Caenorhabditis elegans: one gene and its partner. The protein of the gene in region 1 interacts with the protein of each later gene in a pairwise test. Each region holds a gene or a part of one and is shown on either strand. Other genes may lie near its edges.

The links.
Region 2: the proteins of taf-5 (region 1) and nhr-4 interact in a two-hybrid assay, tested with the Caenorhabditis elegans proteins (one large-scale study listed by BioGRID).

Annotation. Positions count from the first base shown.
Region 1 is NC_003279.8:7,847,946-7,854,851, forward strand, and holds taf-5 (Transcription initiation factor TFIID subunit 5), read left to right. Parts: upstream 1-1,867; 5' UTR 1,868-1,879; coding exon 1,880-2,112; intron 2,113-2,581; coding exon 2,582-2,961; intron 2,962-3,011; coding exon 3,012-3,202; intron 3,203-3,819; coding exon 3,820-4,335; intron 4,336-4,509; coding exon 4,510-4,884; intron 4,885-4,931; coding exon 4,932-5,068; intron 5,069-5,438; coding exon 5,439-5,553; 3' UTR 5,554-5,691; downstream 5,692-6,906. Other genes in the region: F30F8.5 (MATH domain-containing protein), read right to left, coding at 117-626, 720-908; apb-3 (AP-3 complex subunit beta), read left to right, coding at 5,805-5,881, 5,996-6,074, 6,125-6,835. UniProt on the Caenorhabditis elegans protein: The TFIID basal transcription factor complex plays a major role in the initiation of RNA polymerase II (Pol II)-dependent transcription.
Region 2 is NC_003282.8:9,876,873-9,882,887, forward strand, and holds nhr-4 (Nuclear hormone receptor family member nhr-4), read left to right. Parts: upstream 1-2,456; 5' UTR 2,457-2,461; coding exon 2,462-2,546; intron 2,547-2,759; coding exon 2,760-2,904; intron 2,905-2,950; coding exon 2,951-3,075; intron 3,076-3,232; coding exon 3,233-3,390; intron 3,391-3,491; coding exon 3,492-3,740; intron 3,741-3,789; coding exon 3,790-4,091; intron 4,092-4,245; coding exon 4,246-4,370; intron 4,371-4,429; coding exon 4,430-4,587; intron 4,588-4,947; coding exon 4,948-5,079; 3' UTR 5,080-5,280; downstream 5,281-6,015. Other genes in the region: prp-18 (Pre-mRNA-splicing factor 18), read right to left, coding at 5,329-5,415, 5,465-5,651. UniProt on the Caenorhabditis elegans protein: Orphan nuclear receptor.

The DNA of each region.
Region 1 (6,906 bases):
TATGATAAAAACGCCGAAAATCTATGAGAGATAGCCCCAATTAGACCTGAACTCGGTCTTTTGCTGATTTGAAGTGCAAATTTCAAGAAAAAAACTACTCTTCATTTAAAAATTACCTGAATATCACTGTCCACTTGTTTCTTCAGTTGCATCGCTGTTGCCAGTAGTTGAACATTATTCTCTGCTGACGAAATAGCCGTCTCATATTGCCCATTGACACGTTTCAAATTGAAAAGCTTTACATTCCAATAGAACATTTGAACATCATTCAGTTTGACAAGTTCATCATTTGCCGTAAATAACTGACAACCAAGATCAAACTTTCTAATGACAGCGTTAATTGTATTGAATGTCCATGCTTCTGTTACTGTCATTTTGTGAGATCCCATCGTGAATTTTCGTGTGATGTCACGTGGAATATCCGATGGGAACTTGCTCAGTAGTTTCAGCTGGACCATATGGACAGCCACATAACGTTCTTTATTACGTGTCACTGCGGGAAGCTTCAGACCATCTATGGTAACCCAATCCCAAGATGATAGAGAGGAAATTAGATTTTCAGTTCCGTCAGATGTACTACTAGATGTACGAAGACGTTGAGGAGGTGGTGACAGGTTTTTGTTGCTCTGAAATTCAAGAATCTAGCTTTCTAGGTTTCTAGACGCAAAGCTTCAATTTTTCAGTATCGACAAAACATTTTCTATTAAAAAAAAACCTACATCAGTTCTCCTTGTAGAAGTTGAATTATTCATCTGCTGCTCATTTCCAACTGCTCCATTCTGTTTCTCCGGCGTAGAGCAATCAGATTTGATCACTTCAACATCAATTTCAGGACTATGGGCTCTTGGCGTCGCATCAGTGTCCTTTTTCTCAGCACTCTTTAAAGACGAGGTTGTAGTAGTGTCCATAATGTGTAGAAACACAAGCAATGCTCGTCTTCTTCTTCTCTGTCTTCCACTCCCCCATTCATTTTCTGTGTGCATCTGTCTCTCCAGTCTATCGATCCTTACACGGAGCGTGTTCGCCTCTGCGTCTCGCTTGGGCTTCAACTGCTTCTCGGCGTCCCTCTGAATTTTATATGCATTCGACAACGTTTGTGTGTGTGTGAAATCGTCATTCTAGGACAACAATTCGTATTTTCGTTGCATTAGATATTAAAAATTAAAACGGCTGAATTCAAAATGGGTAAGTATTTCTAATTAACTATTTCCCTAGTTTTACTTTACGTTTTTTCATCATTCTAGAAAGTTATCACTGTAGCAATCGACTCCGTTATCAGATACATAGAAATGATAAGATAGCAAACAAAATATTGTTGATTGCACAATTGAATACATTCGAATATTTATTAATCGTTGTATTGAAATCAGTTGGAATGAAAATGTTAAATTTACACTACAAACTACAAGCGATAACATTTTACTGTATATTTAGTGTTCTTAGTTAGTTGCCAAAGTGATATCAAGGGAGATATCATAATTATTTAAGATTGGGTACCTTCATTTAAAGAAACTGAGTAGAGTTCTTTTGGAGTACAGGACCCAAACACCGTTTTTTTTTCATAGATAATTAACTTTTAACTCCTACAAAAAGGTCTGACAGAAATTCCGAAGGTAGGCATGCCTACGTAGGTTAGTTGCAATCTCGCTCTGCTGCACCATGTCGGCAACAAGTTCGTAGTGACGTTTGAATTAATTCTTCTTCGCTCTTTTATTCTACTTATAAATTCTGCAATTGGCCACATATTTGAAAAAAAAAACACCATTTTGAACTCAATTATTTTTCTAACAAATGTCGGTTTAAATTCAAAAAAATATATCAAATTTGATATTTTGACAGTATTTTCTCATAATAATATATTTTCCAGAGAATGAACTTGATGGATAGCGAGAATTCGAGTAGTCATTCGATAAGTTCTCCACAAATGTTTCAAAACACGCACAACAATTCAGCAATGGAGGATAATTTGCTTTCTCGGCCAATGAACAATGAATCACTTCAAATGATTATTGGATACTTACGACGAAATGGTTTAACAGAAACTGAAGAGCTTTTGACTCGAGAAGCTGGACCAGTACTTAGAGTTGAAGGATCTAATGGATTACCTCCAGAGTAAGTTTTTTTTTTCAATTTAAAAATGTATCTAGAAATTAATATTTTAAAAGGTTGGAGCATTGCTAGACTCAAAATGACCCCACAAAATTGTTTTAAATTTCTCAAAAAAAAGCTAACCAGTTGATTAAGATGCTTTTTCAGTAGATGTGCACACAGTAATTTCAAAATAAAATTTTTTCCAAATGTTGTGCATCCATCGACTGAAAAGATCACTTTTACCGAAAAAATCAATTTTGTAATTTTCTGCCGAATATAGACTTTTCCCCTAAACTCAAAACCGGTATTTAAATAAATTTGGGAAATTTACAAGACGTATTAATAATACATTCGGTTTTCGGTATCATTTTAAGTCTAATGAATCTACTCAAATTTCGCCACTTCATCTTAGAAATAATTTTTTTTAATAGCAAAATAGACAAAATTTGAATTTTTCAAAGCCCAATGTCTTAAAAACCAAAAGTTTCAGAGAAGCGATATCCGTTGAATTCGACACATTTGTCCAGCACGCAAACGATTGTACAGATGTTGTTCAAGCGGAATTCAGTCAACTTTTATTTCCTATATTTGCACACAGCTATATAGCTTTAATTGAAAAGCATGCCGCAACTGCCCGTATATTCTTCAATCGATTCAAGATTTTCATTCCTGAATGTTTCTCGGAATTTGTATATCAATTATCACTAATCGAAGATGCAATGACGTTACGAGCCAATGAACATGTTCACATTTTACGAGAAAATAAATTTCTTGTTCGACTTTCGAGGCCAACACTGAAACATCTTGAATCAATTCAAACGAGAGTGATTGGTGTTAAGAATATAATTGCAAAACATATTTGTATTGAAAGTAAGTATTCATTTTTATATACAAAAAAAATATAATAATATCCGTTAAAGATGCTGACGAAGTATCCACAAATCGAACGACAATAGAAACCCAAATGGGTGGAATTCTTGGAGTAACTTCGAAAAGTGATAAAAGACATAAAATGATGTTTTCGGTGTTAAAAGACGAATTGATGCAGAATATTGAAAAACGGAAGACAAAAGGAAAAGATTGGAAAGATATGGGAAAGAAAATGCAGACGGTAAGATTTTTAAACAATTTTTTTGAATTTTTTTGTACTGACAAGGAAAGATTTTCATCTTACCCTGAAATTTTAAAAATGTTTATCAAATTTTGTTTATGTTAATGAAAAAAAACATAAGAACATATATAATTGTTTTCTAAAAAAGAGAAAAAAATTGTCAATATTTTAAGCTAATTTTCAAAAAATCAAAAACAAAATCATTAGATTTTTCGATTTCCCAAAAACCGAAAAACGTAATATTTTCGTTATTGTTTTTTGTGAAAAATCGAAAAATGAACACCTTTGCTGATAACATATCGCTGTAACATTTTAATCGGCATGTTATGTTGAAAAATCTAATTTTAAAACAGTTGATTTTTTTCTGAATAAATTTCCAAAAATAATGTTTGGCTACACCTAAACTCTTTTGAAGTCTTCAAAAATATTCAAAAGTATCTTTTGGAGCAACTCTAATGGCCTGAAAATAATGCAAAAATACACTGAAAAATACAGTCAAAATTTAAATGGTTGAGGGTGTAGCTGTGACGATTAAAATTTTTTAGTGTGTTTTTTGAGTCCCTCTCCCTTTGTTCTGTAATTTTCATAGTTCTTTGTATATATCTTGTTATTTCCAGCATTGCCCACAAGCTGACCGAATTCCTCTTCCACCAATCAGCGAACATCTTCGAGAGGAACGACGAAATTGGCTTCGAGACGTCGGAAAAATGGCCATCATTTCAGCTGAATCACCCGTTTCCATTTGTATGTACACAACAGTAAATGCACCAATTGGAGTGGCTTCATGTGATTTTACGGATGATTCAAGTCTTATTGCAATGGGTTTATCTGATTCTTCAATTGTTATGAATGCAATGGATCCGATGAATAAGATGAAGAAGCTTCGTGATATGGAATTTCTTGATAAAATCGATATTGAAACTGCGGATAACGTGCAATCACAAATGTTTGATTTACAAGGATCAACGACAAGTGTGAGGTATACAGGCCACGGTGGTCCCGTGTTTTCTGTCAATTTTTCACCGGATCGACGACTTCTTATATCATCTGCCGGAGATCGAACAGTTCGACTTTGGAGTATGGAGACTCAGAGGAATGCTGTTATTTATAGAACACCAGCAGTAGTTTGGCAGGTTTGTATTTATATAATTTTAACTAGCATTTTAACTGAGATATTTAGTGTCGTTGGTAATCTTATTTCAAATAATAGATCATTATCCGAAATTATCGAATTTAACTAATAAAAAAACTGTCTCATAAAGTTTCAGCGCAACGTTCTACATTATCTAATCTGAAAACTATTACAGGCTCAATTCTGTAGTCGTGGATACTATTTCGCTACAGCAAGTGCCGATAAAACAGCTGCAATGTGGTCGACAGATCGAATGCATCCACTTAGAATATTCGCTGATCCATATGGAGACGTTGGATGTATTGATTATCATCCAAATTGTAATTATATTGCTGGAGGATCAGATGATAGATATGTTCGAGTATGGGATGTTTGTTCTGGTACTCGAGTTCGCATTTTTAGTGGTCATAAAGCTTCGATTATCGCTGTCAAGTTCTCCCCATGTGGTCGGTATATCGTCTCGTTAGATGCTATTGGAAATCTGATGATTTGGGATTTGGCATACCAGAGATTAGTTGCAGCTGAAATTACGGAACAAGCTGGAACGAAGGTAGTGAAATATAAAAATGATAATATCATATTACTAGTTCATTTCAGGGTTCAATTACATTCTCTCGTGATGGTGGTGTATTTGCGGTATCCCATGGAAATTCAAGTATTCAATTATATTCACTTGATACTCTTATTGGAACAGTTCTCGCCGCTGGACAAAATGATTCCTACATTGAGCCAAAGTAAGTTTTAATTAGGAACAAAATACTTGGAGAAATATACAGGTACAAATATTATGAAAACGCAGAAAAATCCCCTTACGAGAAAGAAGAAAGTATAAATTTTATTCATCAAATTAGCCATAACATTTTTTTAAACCACTTAAAAACAGGACAAATGCTTGAAGATCGGAGAAATCGGCAATACTAAAAACTTTCGAATTTACGGTTTTGTCGCCAAATACCTAATGAGACCTATGGCTTGGGGGCGGGGCGTATTTATTCGGCAGTGGAGCGCGTTTCCACTTCAGAATGTCTTTTCTAAGTCCTCATAATATATAGTTTCTCGAAAACTCCTACAAGCTTTTTTCAATCAATTTTTACAAAATTTCAGAGTGAATCTGGACGGTTTCAATATAGGATCATATGCAACAAAAGAAACTGCAGTAATCGGACTCCATTTCACTCGTCGAAATCTTCTTCTTGGATTTGGTTGCTTCGGGCAATAACTGTCATCTTGCCTGCTATTATTTGAACATTTTATCTTTAAAATACATTATCTCAAAATCTGGTCTTTAACGTGATCCTCTCATTCATATTAAATCTCTTTTTCACTGGTGGAATAAAACCTTTTAACAAATTTTAAATTTATTTTAAAATCCCTTTGGCTTTATTTTGGAATTATGTGTTCATTCCGACACTGCAAATATTTTATTACATTTTTTTCTCTTTTTTAAAAATAAGGTTATTTTATTTTCAGATGACGTCGTTCGTCGAAGGGTTGACCAGCCCTGAAATGGAAATTGCTGAGGGCGGAGTCATCTTGGATAATAGGACGTAGGTTTTTTTGTTAACTTAAGACTAATAAAAATACTTATTTTTTAAAAAATTTCAACAGTTACATTTTAGGTATAACTGTACGTAACATTTTTCGAATATATCTACTTTCAGACGATTCGCTGACCTAAAAGCCATGCTGGATAGTAATAAAGATAACCTAAAAGTTGATGCAATGAAACGAATAATTAACGTGAGATTTTATTTCCAATAAATTATAATTATCTAAACTTGAAATTTCAGCTGATAGCGAAAGGAAAAGATGTCAGTGAACTATTTGCTGCAGTTGTGAAGAACGTAGCAGCAAAAAATGTGGAGCTGAAAAAGTTGGTATTTGTTTATCTTGTACGATATGCCGAAGAACAACAAGATCTTGCACTTCTCTCGATATCAACTTTCCAACGGGCTCTCAAAGATCCGAATCAACTGATTCGTGGAAGTGCTCTCCGAGTTTTAACATCAATCCGTGTTCCGATGGTCGCACCAATCATGCTTTTAGCCATCAAAGATGCAGTACGTGATATGAGTCCATACGTGAGGAAAGTTGCTGCACATGCCATACCAAAACTATACTCACTGGAACCTGAACTCGAACCTCAGCTTGTCGATTGCATAGATTTTCTTCTCGCTGATCGAAGAAGTTTAGTACTCGGTAGTGCTGTTTACGCATTTGATGAGATCTGTCCACACCGACTCGATCTTCTTCATAAACACTTCAGAGCATTATGTCGTGGTTTGGCAGATGTCGACGAATGGGGTCAAATTGTGATGATCAACATGTTGACTAGATATGCAAGACATGAATTGGCGGATCCAGATAGAGGACCACCCGATACGGATGTTGTACTTCTTCTCAACTCAGCTCGTCCTCTACTTCAATCAAGAAATTGTTCAGTTGTCATGGCAGTCGTACAATTATTTTATCATGTTGCGCCGAAAGCTCAACTCTCTCAGGTAAGTCAAGCGGAAAAAAATATGGCTTCAGAAATTTCAACTGAAAAGTTAGTAAAGTAAAAATAAAAACT
Region 2 (6,015 bases), on another chromosome or scaffold:
TACATAACTAAGGAATAAATAAGTTAGTTCATAGAGTTCACGTTGTACGATCTTCTTAGCCACGTCGTGGGTCAATACACGTTGATACCCAACATCTCCCCTCTTCAATGACAAACGAGAGCTTTGGTGAGGAGCCATCCACGATGTCTTCTGAGGTTCTCACGGACCACCCTCCAGTGTGACCGTCGATATTGCCAATCCTTTGCACACGGTACTTCGGTGTTCACATCCTCCAATTGCGGGTTCCAAGTTAGCCACACTTCCCGTACCAATCGAAATATTTTTGATGTCTATCCAACCTTCACCAACAGACTAAAAAACGTTGCTGCCTGAATATTAGACCCAACCTTGAATCATCCACACTGATTCCGCCTGTTCCACCATCAACCTGTTGTATCCCAGTTCCTGGTTGTGGATCATGTTATGACCAATAACAATTTGTGCAATCGTCCAATGACTGAGCATTTGAAACGCATAGGTGGCCTTCACTCGCATCTTCAAAAGAGTTGAGCAATGATTCCTTCTTCTTTTCGACTTCAATCCAGAAGCCGCTCCTGTCCACCTTGACTGCAACTGCAGAGAGCACGGCAGGTGCCTCTTCCCAAAGCTGACCTGATCCACCTCAGAGGTCTTTTCTTCCCAGTAGACATGTGTAGATCAAAACAATACCTCAGAGGTCTTTTCTTCTAAGTAGACATGTGCATGAAGCCAGTGGTGCAGTGAGCCCGAAAGATCCTGATCGCCAATGTTATATATTCAATTGTATTAATAATAGAAGAAGCTTTATTAGAAAGCAGAAGAGTATGATAGAATAGTGAGGAATAGTGAGGAATGATCGAATATGATAGATTCGATCAAGGAATGTACATGTGGATAATACGTGAAATAATAATAAGCGAGTTCGAGAGTTCACGTGCTTCTTATTGTCGAGTTGTTATCGCCAAGTAGTGCGAACACGTTCACGTCTCGCCGTAACAATTTTAATATATTAGGTGTGAGAAAGGTGCGTATTGTATCTGTTTTGGGTGCCTCGATGTGGTCAAAATTAAGACCAAATACGACATTTTTTCTCGTGCTTCAGGCTACCGATACAAACTATTTGGACTATGGTCAAAATACAGTTTAATTCTATAGTTTAGGTTTTAAAAATAATCCATATAAAATGATTGAACATACCTTATAGTTCCGATTTTTCTAGCGCCATCATTTTTATCACGATTGTCTAATTAGCCTTAGAAAAACGGTTCAACCTATGTTTCTCTAATGAATCACTTTTTGATAAAACCAAAGAAAATCAAATAATGAACGGTCATTGTGGAGGAATATAGTAGTAAGGGAATTGAATTGTATGAGAAAACCTATTCTACGTCCTCAAAGACCTTTGTACCTAAAAAGGTAACAAAAAGCATTTTTCGGGGATTATCTATTGGAAAAAAATCATTTTTGTTTCTAGTACCACCACCTACCGCATTTTCTCTCTTACTATTAGTATGGGTTCTATTTTTAAAGTTTGTATCTCAGTTGTCGTGGGTTCAAATTTTTAAGTTGTCTATTGACAAAATATTTTAAAGTTCTTTTTCTATCGATTTGTAGTTAATTAATTTTTGGAAATCTTCAAAATGCACCGAGATATAACCAATCAGTAGTCGGGTGCAATATTAGTAGAGGTAATACGGAATTTTTGATTGTTTGGAATACAACTAGAGCCTTGGAGACATATGAACTCTTCCAAAATAAAACTTTAACAATCATTTTTCTAACTCTTTTTTAGAAAGGTAGTACTTGAAAATCACTGATCTAAATCAAAATCGCATTGGAACTACACTATGTCACGCTTTTTTCATCAATTCATCACATTTTCTCACTACAGTCTCATCCTCATCCTCGTCTTCTTCTTATTTCTTCTCTTTTCTTCACCGATTCTATCACTATTTTATCCATTTTGGAAAGATTTGACATGTTTGTTTAAACTTTTCACCCACTCCATTCTTTGTTCATTTCCACGCTGTTCAGTCGTTTTTTTAATGAGTCACCAAAGTTTCATACTCGGTCAGAACTCACTTCTCCGTAACATAAAGTCTAGTCATTCTCACTTTTTCTATATCCAAATCTTCATCATTATATGATAGTTGTCACCTCTTTTCTTTGAGCAATCTACGTCAATATCACCTCACAAATGAGCCCCCGTGCCTCCGAGGAATTCGCCATGGAAACGGGCGGCTCGTTTTGTAAGATTACTTGTTGGGAGAGAGACAACTCAAAACGGGTGCGACTACAACCTACATAGCTTTAATTTTTTCTTCATTTTGAAGAAACCATTTTGTCACGTGCTTCATATAAATTAAGATCAAAATTATTCTTTTATTTCACATCACTAGTTTCTTCACAATTTTTATATGTCTGTTCCAATTTTGTCTAAAACTTTTGAAGTAAGCAAAACATATTTTTGATTTCAGTGTAAATGAATGAACGAGGGATGCTAGTGGATCCGAGATTTGACGCATTCTTTAAATTGGAACAAATAGACGACTACAAATATGATGGAGGTAAGCGCTGAACACCTTACCAACTTTTGATAGTTCACATCTCAACTGACTTTGGTTTTATTAAAAAATCACCAACTGAAAAATTATTGTTGCTTATTTTTGTATATTGAACTGAGATGTTGACAGACTTCTTTCAAAATAAAAAAAATTGGCTACAGTAATCGTCACAAATTTAAATCAAGTTTAAAAATTTCAAACCTTGAACATTTTCAGCTGACACTTCTCCATCAACGTCCAACGGTCTGCCAGAAACCTCAAACGGGGGTCGCTTGATTTGTGATGTTTGTGGTGACGTGGCGTTCGGAAAACATTATGGGATTAATGCTTGTAATGGGTGTAAAGGTTTTTTCAGACGAAGGTATTAATGAATCGAACAAATTTAATTTTAAAATTTACTGTTTCAGTGTGTGGTCAAGGAGGCAATATTCTTGTCGTTTTGGAGGAGATTGCCCGGTTGTAAAGGAACATCGAAATGTCTGTAGATCTTGTCGATTGAAGAAATGTTTTGAAGTTGGAATGAATCCGGATTGTAAGTTTTAATTTTTAATAACTTCACATTCAACCCGGAGCCCTGTGTTTTCTCTTTTCATTTATCCTCGTATTTTCGGAGACGTTAAGGTTGTACATACAAAAGTTCTGATTAACAACTTGGAAACTCACAATCCCAATATCGTCTATTTTTACAGCTGTACAAAATGAACGTGATCGTAATGCTAAAAATGGAGGGATGGGTGGACCAATGTCATCTCCAACTCAGTCTTCTTTATGCAAAGAATTGACAATTTCTAATGGACAGATTAAACGAAAGAGACTGAGACCGGAAACCGTAGAAAAAACGACTCAGGTAACGATTTTTGACATTTAGAGTTTCTAGAAAACTATAAAAAAATTGAGTAATCGTTTCAATTCTAATTTTCTAATTTTTTCAAACTTTCAAATTTTCAGACTGATGGAAAACTTGAAATAAACGATGATTTTGATTTTGAAAACATGCAACAAAACCCAACCCCTCCAGGATTATTGCCTCTTAAAATTGAAAGAATCTCAACACCTCCATCCGATTTGCCTGTTCCTATGGACTTTTCAATTCATTCTGCAGTTCTTGACATTGAGCAAAAAGTATTTTATAATTGTCCGGTGGCTGTTGATAATTCAATTAATGCAACAAAAACTCCAATCACTTTGCCATTTGAGGTTTGTTTTATAAAGATTTAGAGTGTCTGATCCAAACTAGGAATTTTAGGTCGTATTCCGTCAACCTCATCTTGTATGTAACCGTTATCCAATGCGATTCTCGAATACTCGAGTATTAACTCCAGAAGATCTTATTGACGGATGGCGTCGTCATTTCACTTATTATTCTGATTGGTGTCATGCAATGGATGAATTCAAGGCATTGTCTCCTGAAGATCAGATTGTTTTGGCAAAGAAAAAGATTATACTTCATGGATGGCTTGTTCATGCTTACTACTCATACAAGAGTGGTTGCAATGGAATTTGTTTTGCAAATGGAGCCGCCCATCTTCCTGAAGGAGGTCATCCAAGGTAAGTAAAACTGATTCGAGAATCTAGAAAAAAATCTTTAAAAAAACCAAAATATGAACGGAGTATATCCTTTATTTTAATTGGAATTGACAATATTCCTTTTTCATTTTTGTTTTATTTTCCGTACTCGGCATTTTATCTACTGTATTTCCAGTATCACGGAATTCTACAAAGAATGCATGCCTCGTTATCTGAACTATGTCATTTATCCAATGCATAATTTCCAAATGGATGATGCTGAAATGGTACTTATCAAATGTATCATGTTCTTTTCGAGTGGTAGGTTACTGTAGAATACTTTTTGTAAATTCATTATTTCAATGAAAACAATATTTCAGAATCCGGACTAAGTGCTGCTGGACGGCAAATCGTTTCGGCGGCTCGTGAAAAATATTTATCAGCTTTATATAATTATGGGCGTGCAAATAAATGTACCACATCAGCTCAGGCAACTCTTCGAATCGCGAAATTTATGATTATGCTTTCCGCAATTACGGTATGTTTTTAGAACACATATTATTCGATTTTTTGCCAAATTACGGCACCGGGTCTCGACGCGACAATATTTTGTTTAATAGAAATAGGTGTACGCCTTTAAAGAGTACTGTAATTTCAAACTTCCGTCGCTGCAGAATTTTCTTCAGTTTTTAATAGTTCTTACACAATTTTTTTAATGTTAAAAAATGCCAAAATAAAAATCTTCTTAACCGAAAACTATGAAAAATCGGAAATAATCCACATCAACGAAAATTTCAAATTACAGTACTCTTTAAAGACGCACACCCATTTGTATTTTACAAAAAAAACGTGTCGAGACCTTTTTTGTCGCATGACTCATAATATTTTGAATTTTCAGAGTTTGACACATTTAATGAATGAAGGAGTTCATGTGACGTCACTTTTCAATATAATTGAATTTGACGAACTAATCCAAGCAACTCATAAGACGACTCCACCTCAACATTCTCCTCCAGCTCCAATGGGTTAATGTGTTAATTTCGGTTTTTGGATTCTACCTCTTTGATCTCGTTTCATATCAGAACTTGACTGTTTCATTATTTGAATGGATTATTTCTTGAAACATCCGTATATATCTTATTGAACATTTTGACGCTGTGATATCCTGTACCATAGATAAATATGTATATAATCGTTGTGTATTGCAAAAGAAAATAAATTCCTTTTTTTTAACTTATAAATAATTAAACAACAATTGAACAAGATAAATAATGAGAATTCAAACAGCCTTTTTAACAAATTCGACACTTTTCGATGGATCCGTTGGAAAATATTCTTGCATTTTGGTCATCAGTCGTTTGAACGCCTATAATGTTTAAAAGTTGAGATTTTCAAAAGAATATGGAAATTCTAACCTGAATGTACTTTCTCTGAGTTTCATCATTCAGTACGTGAGCAATATTACTGACATATGATTTTGCAGATCCAGGACGTTGATGAATACCAGAACGAGTTACTCCAACTGGCCAAGGTGCATTTCCGATGGCCATTTCCATATAGGCATTATTTGCTTCCAAATAATTTCTATCAATTACTAGCAATCTGAAATATATATTAAACAACCGAAAATAAAGAAAATTTAAGAATTTTTTCATACACATTGCAGTTTAATTTTTGATTTTTTTTTGGTATAGTATTTGAATTTCTGAAAATCTCAAAAATTCGATAAACAGAGAAAGGTTTTAGTGAAAAAATAAATGTTTTAAATATATGATTATACTTTTATTATTCAAACGCGGAATTTCGAAAAAAATTTTTTAAATGTCTCTAATTTTGAATACCTATGTACCTATTAAATTTTTACGAGTTCTTTCCATCAAATTTCATGCCAATTTACCGAGTTTTCTCTTTTCGTGTAAGTTTTTTTTTTTTGAAAAATGGTTTTTTCGTGTCAATTGAATATTTT